2 separate regions of the Mus musculus genome follow, and region 2 is reported to be linked to region 1. Evidence: microRNA targets listed by miRTarBase, many of them from high-throughput screens and not tested one by one. Region 1 holds a microRNA gene; the other region holds the end of a gene's coding sequence.
What was found. The annotated mature microRNA mmu-miR-759 reads GCAGAGUGCAAACAAUUUUGAC and lies in region 1 at 1,839-1,860, opposite strand. An mRNA with a match to its seed (bases 2 to 7 or 8) in the 3' UTR can be bound and repressed. Matches are read on the target gene's strand: a 7mer-m8 pairs with bases 2 to 8, a 7mer-A1 pairs with bases 2 to 7 and ends in A, and an 8mer does both.

Region 1 (4,068 bases):
AGAGGAGCAGCCAGAGCACATAACCACTGAGCCATCTCTCCATCCCGTGAACAAAATTAAAAAAAAAAAAAAAAAAAAAAAAAACAGCCATCTCCAGAAAGCTGTCTTCCTAATGAACTGAGTGGCACACTATTCCACATGGATGTGGGGCCCAAGGAGTTATTTCTGTTTGCTGTTCTTAGTTTAACACAGGATGTAAATCTAATTGGAACGGTTGTGATTCACATCTGGAATTTTCCAATGAATAACCCATTGCCTAATTGGCCCCTTGAGTTAACAAACGGTTGCTATTTGGTGACTGGGTTGTTTTTTTTTAATCTGGAACAACATTTTGTTGCATTTAGTTCAACATTCTTTTTAAATTTAATTTAATTTAATTTTAATTATTATTGCTGTTATTTTTGCACACAGAACAATGCTAGATATCAAAGGAAGGAATAAGAGAGGGATGGGGAATAAAGATAAAGGAGGTAAAGACTGGGAATGTAGTTCAGTTGAGAAGAACATTTTGCCCCAACTTTGCTCCCTAGCACGTCATAAATTAGACCTGTAACTCCAGGACTCGAGATGTGGAAAAGGCAGCTCTGGGTCATCCTCACCTACATAGAGTTCTGGGTTAGCCTGAGATACATGAAGTCTTTAAAAAAAAATCCCAAGAGATAAATAATATACTGTTTTCTACATAATAATATAATTAATATTATTTATAATAACATAAATAACATACAGTTTTCTGTCTCCAGAAACATGAGTGCTGTTTGTATGAATAAGAAATGAAATTGGACATGGAGCCAAAAATATCAGAATTAGAAGGAAAAGACAATGAATGCTATAGCAGGGGTCAGCCAGAGGCAAGAGAATAATTACACAGATTTACGAAGGAGCATTTGAAGGAGTGCAGATCATAAAGACAGAATAAAGTGCGGAGGTGAAGGAGAGATGGGCATTCCAGGTGGGCGGAGCAGCACATTAAAGACAGATTCAAGCAGACAGGCTAAGGAGGATGAAGTTAGAAGTGTAGACTGGGGTCAGATGGTGAGCAGCTTTGAACGTGGCTCTGCAGGCATTGGGGAGCTACCAAAGGCTTTGTAGTGAGAGAATGGAGTGCTCCCCTGCCAGCCCCAAATACCTGAGATACTTCTAAAAGAGAGTCGAACTGCTTTCCTATTTAAATCACTGCATTTGGGAAATAGATCACTTAGCCCTAATTTAGCACAAGAATGCCCTCATTTTACAAAGGAACCGGAAGCTTAGAGAAGACTTAGCCAGCATGCTCTATCAATCCGTAGCAGAACCAAGACCAGTCAAGAGAATCATGCCTGAGCATTCCCCCTGCCCCAAAAGGTGTGATGATGTAGTTGATGATGGTGGTGGTAGTGATTTGAGGGCAGTGGAGGCAATTATTTTGGGCAAGATGCCTTGTCATTCGTATCCCTCCTCCTCTGTACATTTTCCATTTTTAATGGAACATGAAACAGATTATCCACGTAATCACTTTAACCAATTATCTGTAGTTGATGAACTTCCCTGCAACTTAATTAGCAAAGTTGTTTCCCAGAGTAACAGTAGCACAGCATCATCTAAAAGTCACTTCAGAAAGATGGAACAATTCATTAACAATTACTAATGTCTGCAGGGTTGAAGGATGTACAGTGTTCATTTGGAGAACGAGGAAACCACACGTAATGGCTTTCTCCGTCCTGGTTTGTCGCGCTTTGTGTCCACGAGATGACTCACGTTGCCAAAGCCCGAGTTTAATTAGCATGCTTAGTCTGTGCTGCTACCTCCATTGGAACAAATTAAATGTTTAAACAGCCAGTGCAAACATTTAGATCTGAGTCAAAATTGTTTGCACTCTGCCAGTTTAGGCATTTAATTTATTATAATCCTGCCCATAATACATGCCTTGAAAGTCATTTTTTTGTGTGTGTGCTGAAAAATACCGTTCATATTCCAGCTGATGATATTGAATCTGATACTATCAGAATCTGATGTGAGAACTAATTTGGACCACAGACGAGGGTGATAAATGAGATAATGAACGGATCCTCCTCTGTCCTGACTTCCCCAATTGACCAGGTGATAACAAAGACAGGTGCCACCCCAGGGCCTGCCTTCTGCCCTGAGCATCTCTGCTGCAGCTGAGACTGGCTGCAGCCTGAAGAAACAGGAACCTTGCAAGGCTTTGAGCCGTTTCGTCTTAAAGAGCCCTCATGGAACCTGACCTCTTCTTCCCCGCAAATATTTTTTTTTCAGAATATAGAAATGTGCTGGCTTTCCGCAATTCCCCCTAAAGTTAAAGTGCACTGGTAAGAAAAAACTATAACAAAAGATCCATTGAAATAACACCAGATACAGTGGGAGAGGTTTCAGGCTGGCGGCCTAAGAGAGTGAGGAAGACAGTCCAGAAAAATGACCCTCTGGGGTCCCAGGTGACCACAAGGTGGCAGTGAAGGTCTACTGCGCCTGCCTATTGGCACCCCCCCCCAACCTCCACCCCCAAACCTGACTTCTATAATACCATGACCCTGGGTAACCTACCTCCTCCTCCCCAACTCACTTGAAAACACAGACATCTACTAATCCTAAGTAAGAGACAGTGGTGTGTTTGTGTGTGTGTCTGTGTGTGTGTGTGTGTGTGTGTGTCTGTGTGTGTGTGTGTGTGTGTGTGTGTGTGTGTGTGTGTGTGTGTGTGTCAGTCCACAACTGAATGTCAGAGGACAGCTTTGTAGAAGTCAGTTCTCTCCTTCCACCTAAGTGGGTTGTGGAGACGTAACTCCAAGTCGAGAGATTTACATGGCAAGTATCTTTACCTACTGAGCCATTTGGACAGTCCACTTTCACATTTTAATAAAGATTCCTTCTTGTTTTGTCACAAATATCTTGGAAACTGGAAAATGGGTGGAGCTACCTCAACAGCTCCTGCTCAAAGAAAATGTGTTGAGACAAAGAGAAAGATGTTAAGGACTGTGGTTATGCAAACACACTAGATCTCCCCTTCCTTAGTGATAGAAAGCAGTGGGGCTGCTTCCTCCTGTCCCAGACATCTCGTGCAGTGATCTTTCCAGACACAGAAGAGTAGATCCAAGCCACCTAGTCGGGAAGAGAATGAGATTCCGTTAATCGGCAAATGTTTTGTCAAAATATACCAGGCAAGGTCACTGGAAACTGATTGTTCTGTTTTGGGGAACTAATCAAGGGTCCTTCAAGACTGAAAATCTGGCTCTCTCAGCCTCCATTCCCTGCTTGGAGACCATTCAAGGTCTTCCCCTGAAACATTCCAGGCTGTTGGTATCTGAAGCCCAGTCGGATTCCATAGTGAAGCTCTATCTACCCCCAAGCCTGGCTGGTGGGGGAAGGGAAGAAATCCTGCCAATGTGCTATTTCTCAAAGCAATCAACCGTGAGCAGTACGGCTTTATTTTTTTATTTTTTTTTTTTCCAGACAGTGCTGTAGTTGAGACCCAGGAGAGGGTTTTCTGTGAAAGCCCGGTCTAGGAGGTGAGTATTCAGAATCTTATTTAGCCGAATGCTAACCGAGAGGACGAACTAAGAAATAAAAGATAAAAATCCTTTCCCAGGTAACATCTGTACTGAGGATTTTTTTTTTTTAATGCTTGAGGTTTGTGATTAGACTGTTTCAAACCACACTTTAGAAAGTTAGTTACAAGTAGCATCATGACTGAGAATTCACGATGAGCCGGACAGTAAGTTGCATGCTTGTAGCGACTCTTACTACAACCTTAATAAGGAAAAAAACCTGGCATTCTCCCCTCTGTGTGTAGATGCCCAAGCTGAGGTTTAGAGGGAAAGCTGGGTAGGTAGACTAGCCGGACTGCTAAGTACAACAGTCAGCTGAGAGACCCACCTGATGGAGGAAGATGCCCGAAGTCACATGTAAACAGCCACACTCACAGCTCCTCAAGGCAGTTTGTCTTAACTCCAAATCTCTGTTTAGTTTTTTTAGCAACCATTGAAGATGAGCTTTTTCTTAGCTGGGATGTATGGAATTAAATGTGTTTAATACTAATAAAATAAGACCAACTTACTAAAGTTCTTTATGGTAGAC
Region 2 (4,068 bases), not on the chromosome of region 1:
CTGCTAAAAATCATATGAAGGAGGTTCTTTATAAAAACATCAAAAGAAGTTATGTTGCAGTAAAAAAAATGCTAATTTGAATTCTTGGAACAGTATTCTGGACCTTATGTTATCATGTGTGTTAAAATAATAAAAAAATAAAAGAATAAAAAAAAATCCACATTCGTTTCTGCTTCTCTTTTCTAGGAAAAAAACAAACTAGGTCACATCCCAAAATCTGCCTTCTGAAATCATAAAAATAAATGATAATAGCATAGGTTATTAAAATGACGGTTTAAGAAAGGTATTTTAGCACATAAGTGTTTTGCTCTGGATTCATTTGATATTTATAGGAGTTTGATTTGAAAAAAAAAAAGCAATCGCAGGACAACTTGTAGAACTATATGTTCATTCAAGGCTAAGCATTTGCATGTGCTTCCTGTTTTAGACAGAGATGCCTTCAAGTCCCAGAACACCTCCACAGGCATTTGTAACTTGCTATACCAACCAGTTCCTTCCTCTATGATGTTCATATAAGACTTTAAGACCCTATCACAAATGATAATTCTGGTAGTCAAACGTAACCAGCTTTCACATATGACTCTGTTTTGGAACTGATGAAATTTGTGATCAGAATTTTCAGAAAATTGACTAAAATCCACTCAATCCAAATAAGACTGGGCTGTTCCCCCTCCTCTTCTGGCTCCTCTTCTTGGTCTTCATCTTGGTCTTCCTCTCTGTCTTTCGCTACACCGTGAACTGCCCTACAAGCTGCACCGCAAAGTGTATGTGATTCAAATGATGCATTGTATAATTACTCATGCTTACTAACACGCCACCAGGCTTTGTTGAAGAGCCAAACAGTGAGGCATTCTAGGAGATTTTGTTGTTCTTTGTTTTTTGTTTTGCTTTTGACTGCATTAGCCAACTCCCCTGAACCAAGTAACCCCTGGCTCTGAAATGACAGTTTCTAAAGAAAACAGAGTCACTGTCAGCGGCAGCTGTGCTGTCTGGGGGACAGTCACAGCTTCGTTTCCTTCTGTCTGGATATCTTCCTCTGCCATTCTCTCCTTTGTGTTCTTGCTTATTGAAAATCCAACAATATGTATTTTTATTCAATAATAAACTTAACGTAGTACATAAGAATTCTGCCTTGCCCACTATAAACATTTGGCAAGTATATGCTTTTCTGTTTTTAGTCGAATTAAATATTAATGAAGTCAGTCTAATTCTAGTAACAATTTGTGATAGGTTTGGCTGTTACAAACTTTAGGCTTTGGAAAATTATGATATCACATTTAAATGAAGACTCTAAAATTATATTTCAAAGTAAAGTAATATTAAATGACTTCAAAGTATATAAATATAATCTTGAGGGGGCATAAGAAATTATCTAAAAAAAAGACAGGCCGAAATGGAGTTGGGAGACCTTTCAGGTGAGGAGATCAACTTGACCAATTTTTAATGGGAAGATCAGGGTACCCTGGCAGCTATTCTTATTTATACAGGGACTCTACGGGGATTACAGCAGTGAATTTCATTAAGGTTTCTATGTGACTGTTTCTGAGCTAAGAGATTACAAAACCCAAATAAAGATCATCCTTAGTTCATTTTATACATTTCAAAGAGTTATATTTGCTTGTTCAAAATTCTCCATGCAGGAGATGAACTGAGGTTTTAACTTTGAACCATCAGACTTCAACATCTGTATCAAGGTGTAGGATAGAAACTAGAGATATGCATTTAGAGTCTGCTTTGCCTGTTGCTGAATGTCCTAACAAAGACTTTGCATTCAATTAGAACAGAAAGGAAATATGGAACTGTTTGTTAAATAAACACTAACTTGTGGGTGGAAAACCCCTAAAGACAGACTTCAGTCCAAGAAATAATTACATGTAATAGTAAAATGGGTGGTGATGTTGCTATGGAGGAACAGGGAGTAAAGACAATAGATGGAAATGCTGGGGTCGGTGGAATAATTGACTTTTGTACTTCTCAGTAGAAGAAAAGTAATTTCTCCTTAGGAAAAATTGATGAGATTGCATAATTTACCCTGGAGTCTTTATAACATATGGTTTCTCAAATGAAGACACTCAGAAAAGGATGTCGACATCAGCCCATGATCCTGAGCCCTGACCTCAGACGTCTGCCAGACATCCTGAGTCTATAGTTTGCCTGTTTGGGAGAAAATGGGTTGGGTTGACTATTTCCTATGATCTAGTGGGAGAACACTGAGTGGACCTTCAGACTGTCAGCCAGAACCAATAAATAGTACACAGTTTGCTTTCTATCACCGAAGGGATGGGCATCACTTTGTCTTGTGGTATTCTGATGACTAAAGTATTCAAAATTCACTGTCCATGGGAGGTAGCAATTAGGAGACAATGATAATAAAATGCTTTGCTTTATGTAATTATACCTGTTGTTTCTTACAGAACCAGAGACATGGTGGCTGCAATGCCTGTTTTGTGTGACTTGCCCTAAGCATGGTATGCACTGTGATAGTGAGGACCTTTTATGGGAATGGAATGGAAAGGGTTATAACTGATAACATCTTGAAAGTTTTTTTTTTCTAGTTCTTTTTCTAATTTGTGATGGTTCATAGCTAAATGTTACTGTGTCTCACCATGTGTCAGACAATATATGCTGAGCATTTTAGTTGTATCCACAACCAGTATTATCTTCATCTTCATAGAGAAGAAACCATGCCTTAGGAAGAAGCATGAAAGCATCAAATTCGGTTAAGCAGGAAAGTGGCAAAGGCCAACTTCTATGTCTCCAAACCCTGTGCTCATAACTGGTTAAATTCACTATGTTCTGTGACCACAGACAGAACTCTTAATACAGTTGGCACTCTGGAAAAAAGTCACATCATTAGTGACAGGTAGAACTGAGTAAGAATGTACACGAAACTATGTTAACAATAGCCCTATTGATTGGGGTGAGGGAAAAAAGAAACAACTGAAAAAGTTTCAATAATTAATGTATATTATATATAATAGGCAATATGTAGTATACAATATACTACAATATACAGTACATATAAAGTATATATATACATAGTTTTTTGCTAAAATAAATTATCCGCGTATTGAAACAATAATCTTTGTAGGCCTGTGAGAAAATTGAGAATAAAATATGTTTAACTATAAAAATTCTAGAAGAGGCCGAGCGGTTGTGGCGCACGCCTTTAATACCAGCACTTGGGAGGCAGAGGCAGGTGGATTTCTGAGTTCGAGGCCAGCCTGGTCTACAGAGTGATTTCCAGGACAGCTAGGACTGCACAGAGAAATCCTGTCTTGAAAAACAAACAAACAAAAAACAAAAAAAACAGATAAACAAAAAAAAGTTCTAGAAAAGTATCATTAATATTGAAAGAAAAATGAAGGAATATAAAACTGCAAAGGCAGTTTAGAATACACTGCTTCTAAAGCAGGGTTCATCGATATTACACCTAATTCCTTGTTAAACCTTATGTGAAATACTTCATGAAAAAATGAGTTTACATATTATTACATCTTTATTTTTATTAAAATTTAATAATTTAAACAACATACACAGTTTAATTATATAGGAGAACAGTTTGCATTATCATTAAAATTCTAAATATTCTAAGAAAATGCCTTCCCGCCTATGAAATCACACAGCCTCCTTTGAGTTCCTTGAAGGGGTTTTTGTCTTCTGGAATCCCCTTCACTAGAGGGTCTTCTCCAGACCTTTCTTCAATATAATCTCTCACTTCTTCACAACATTTGGAAACCTTAAAAGGAAGGAGACAGAGATAACTCAGAATAAGAACAGAATTCTGCAGACGATACAAATGTATTTATTACAATATATTTCTATGTCACAGCTTTTGAAGATGATTCCATCTGTTTTCTGCCATTGCACACGTCTTTTCCAGGGTGGGAAAAAATCATTCCCACACTTCCCTTTTAGATGTCTCCAGAAGATAGAAAGCTGACCCTTGAGCTAACATTTCCTAACAGGCCCTTCCTCTAACTTTGTCAAGGAAACACAAGTGGGAGATTTCTCCAAAGTATGTCTCTCTTCTCTTCCTAAACCTTTAGTGTGAAGATGGAGGAGAGT

Region 2: the mRNA of Gngt1 is a reported target of mmu-miR-759. Seed matches in the 3' UTR shown: 7mer-m8 at 3,233-3,239.

The regions. Positions count from the first base shown.
Region 1 is chr14:79,736,252-79,740,319 of GRCm38, reverse strand. Mir759 (microRNA 759) reads right to left here and starts at 1,889; the gene lies at 1,792-1,889.
Region 2 is chr6:3,996,323-4,000,390 of GRCm38, reverse strand. It overlaps Gngt1 (guanine nucleotide binding protein (G protein), gamma transducing activity polypeptide 1), which reads right to left. Exons shown (of 3, transcript NM_010314.3): 3 at 2,955-3,739. The coding sequence ends at 3,611. Among named protein-coding and RNA genes, the nearest start is that of Gngt1, 4.3 kb to the right of the region's middle.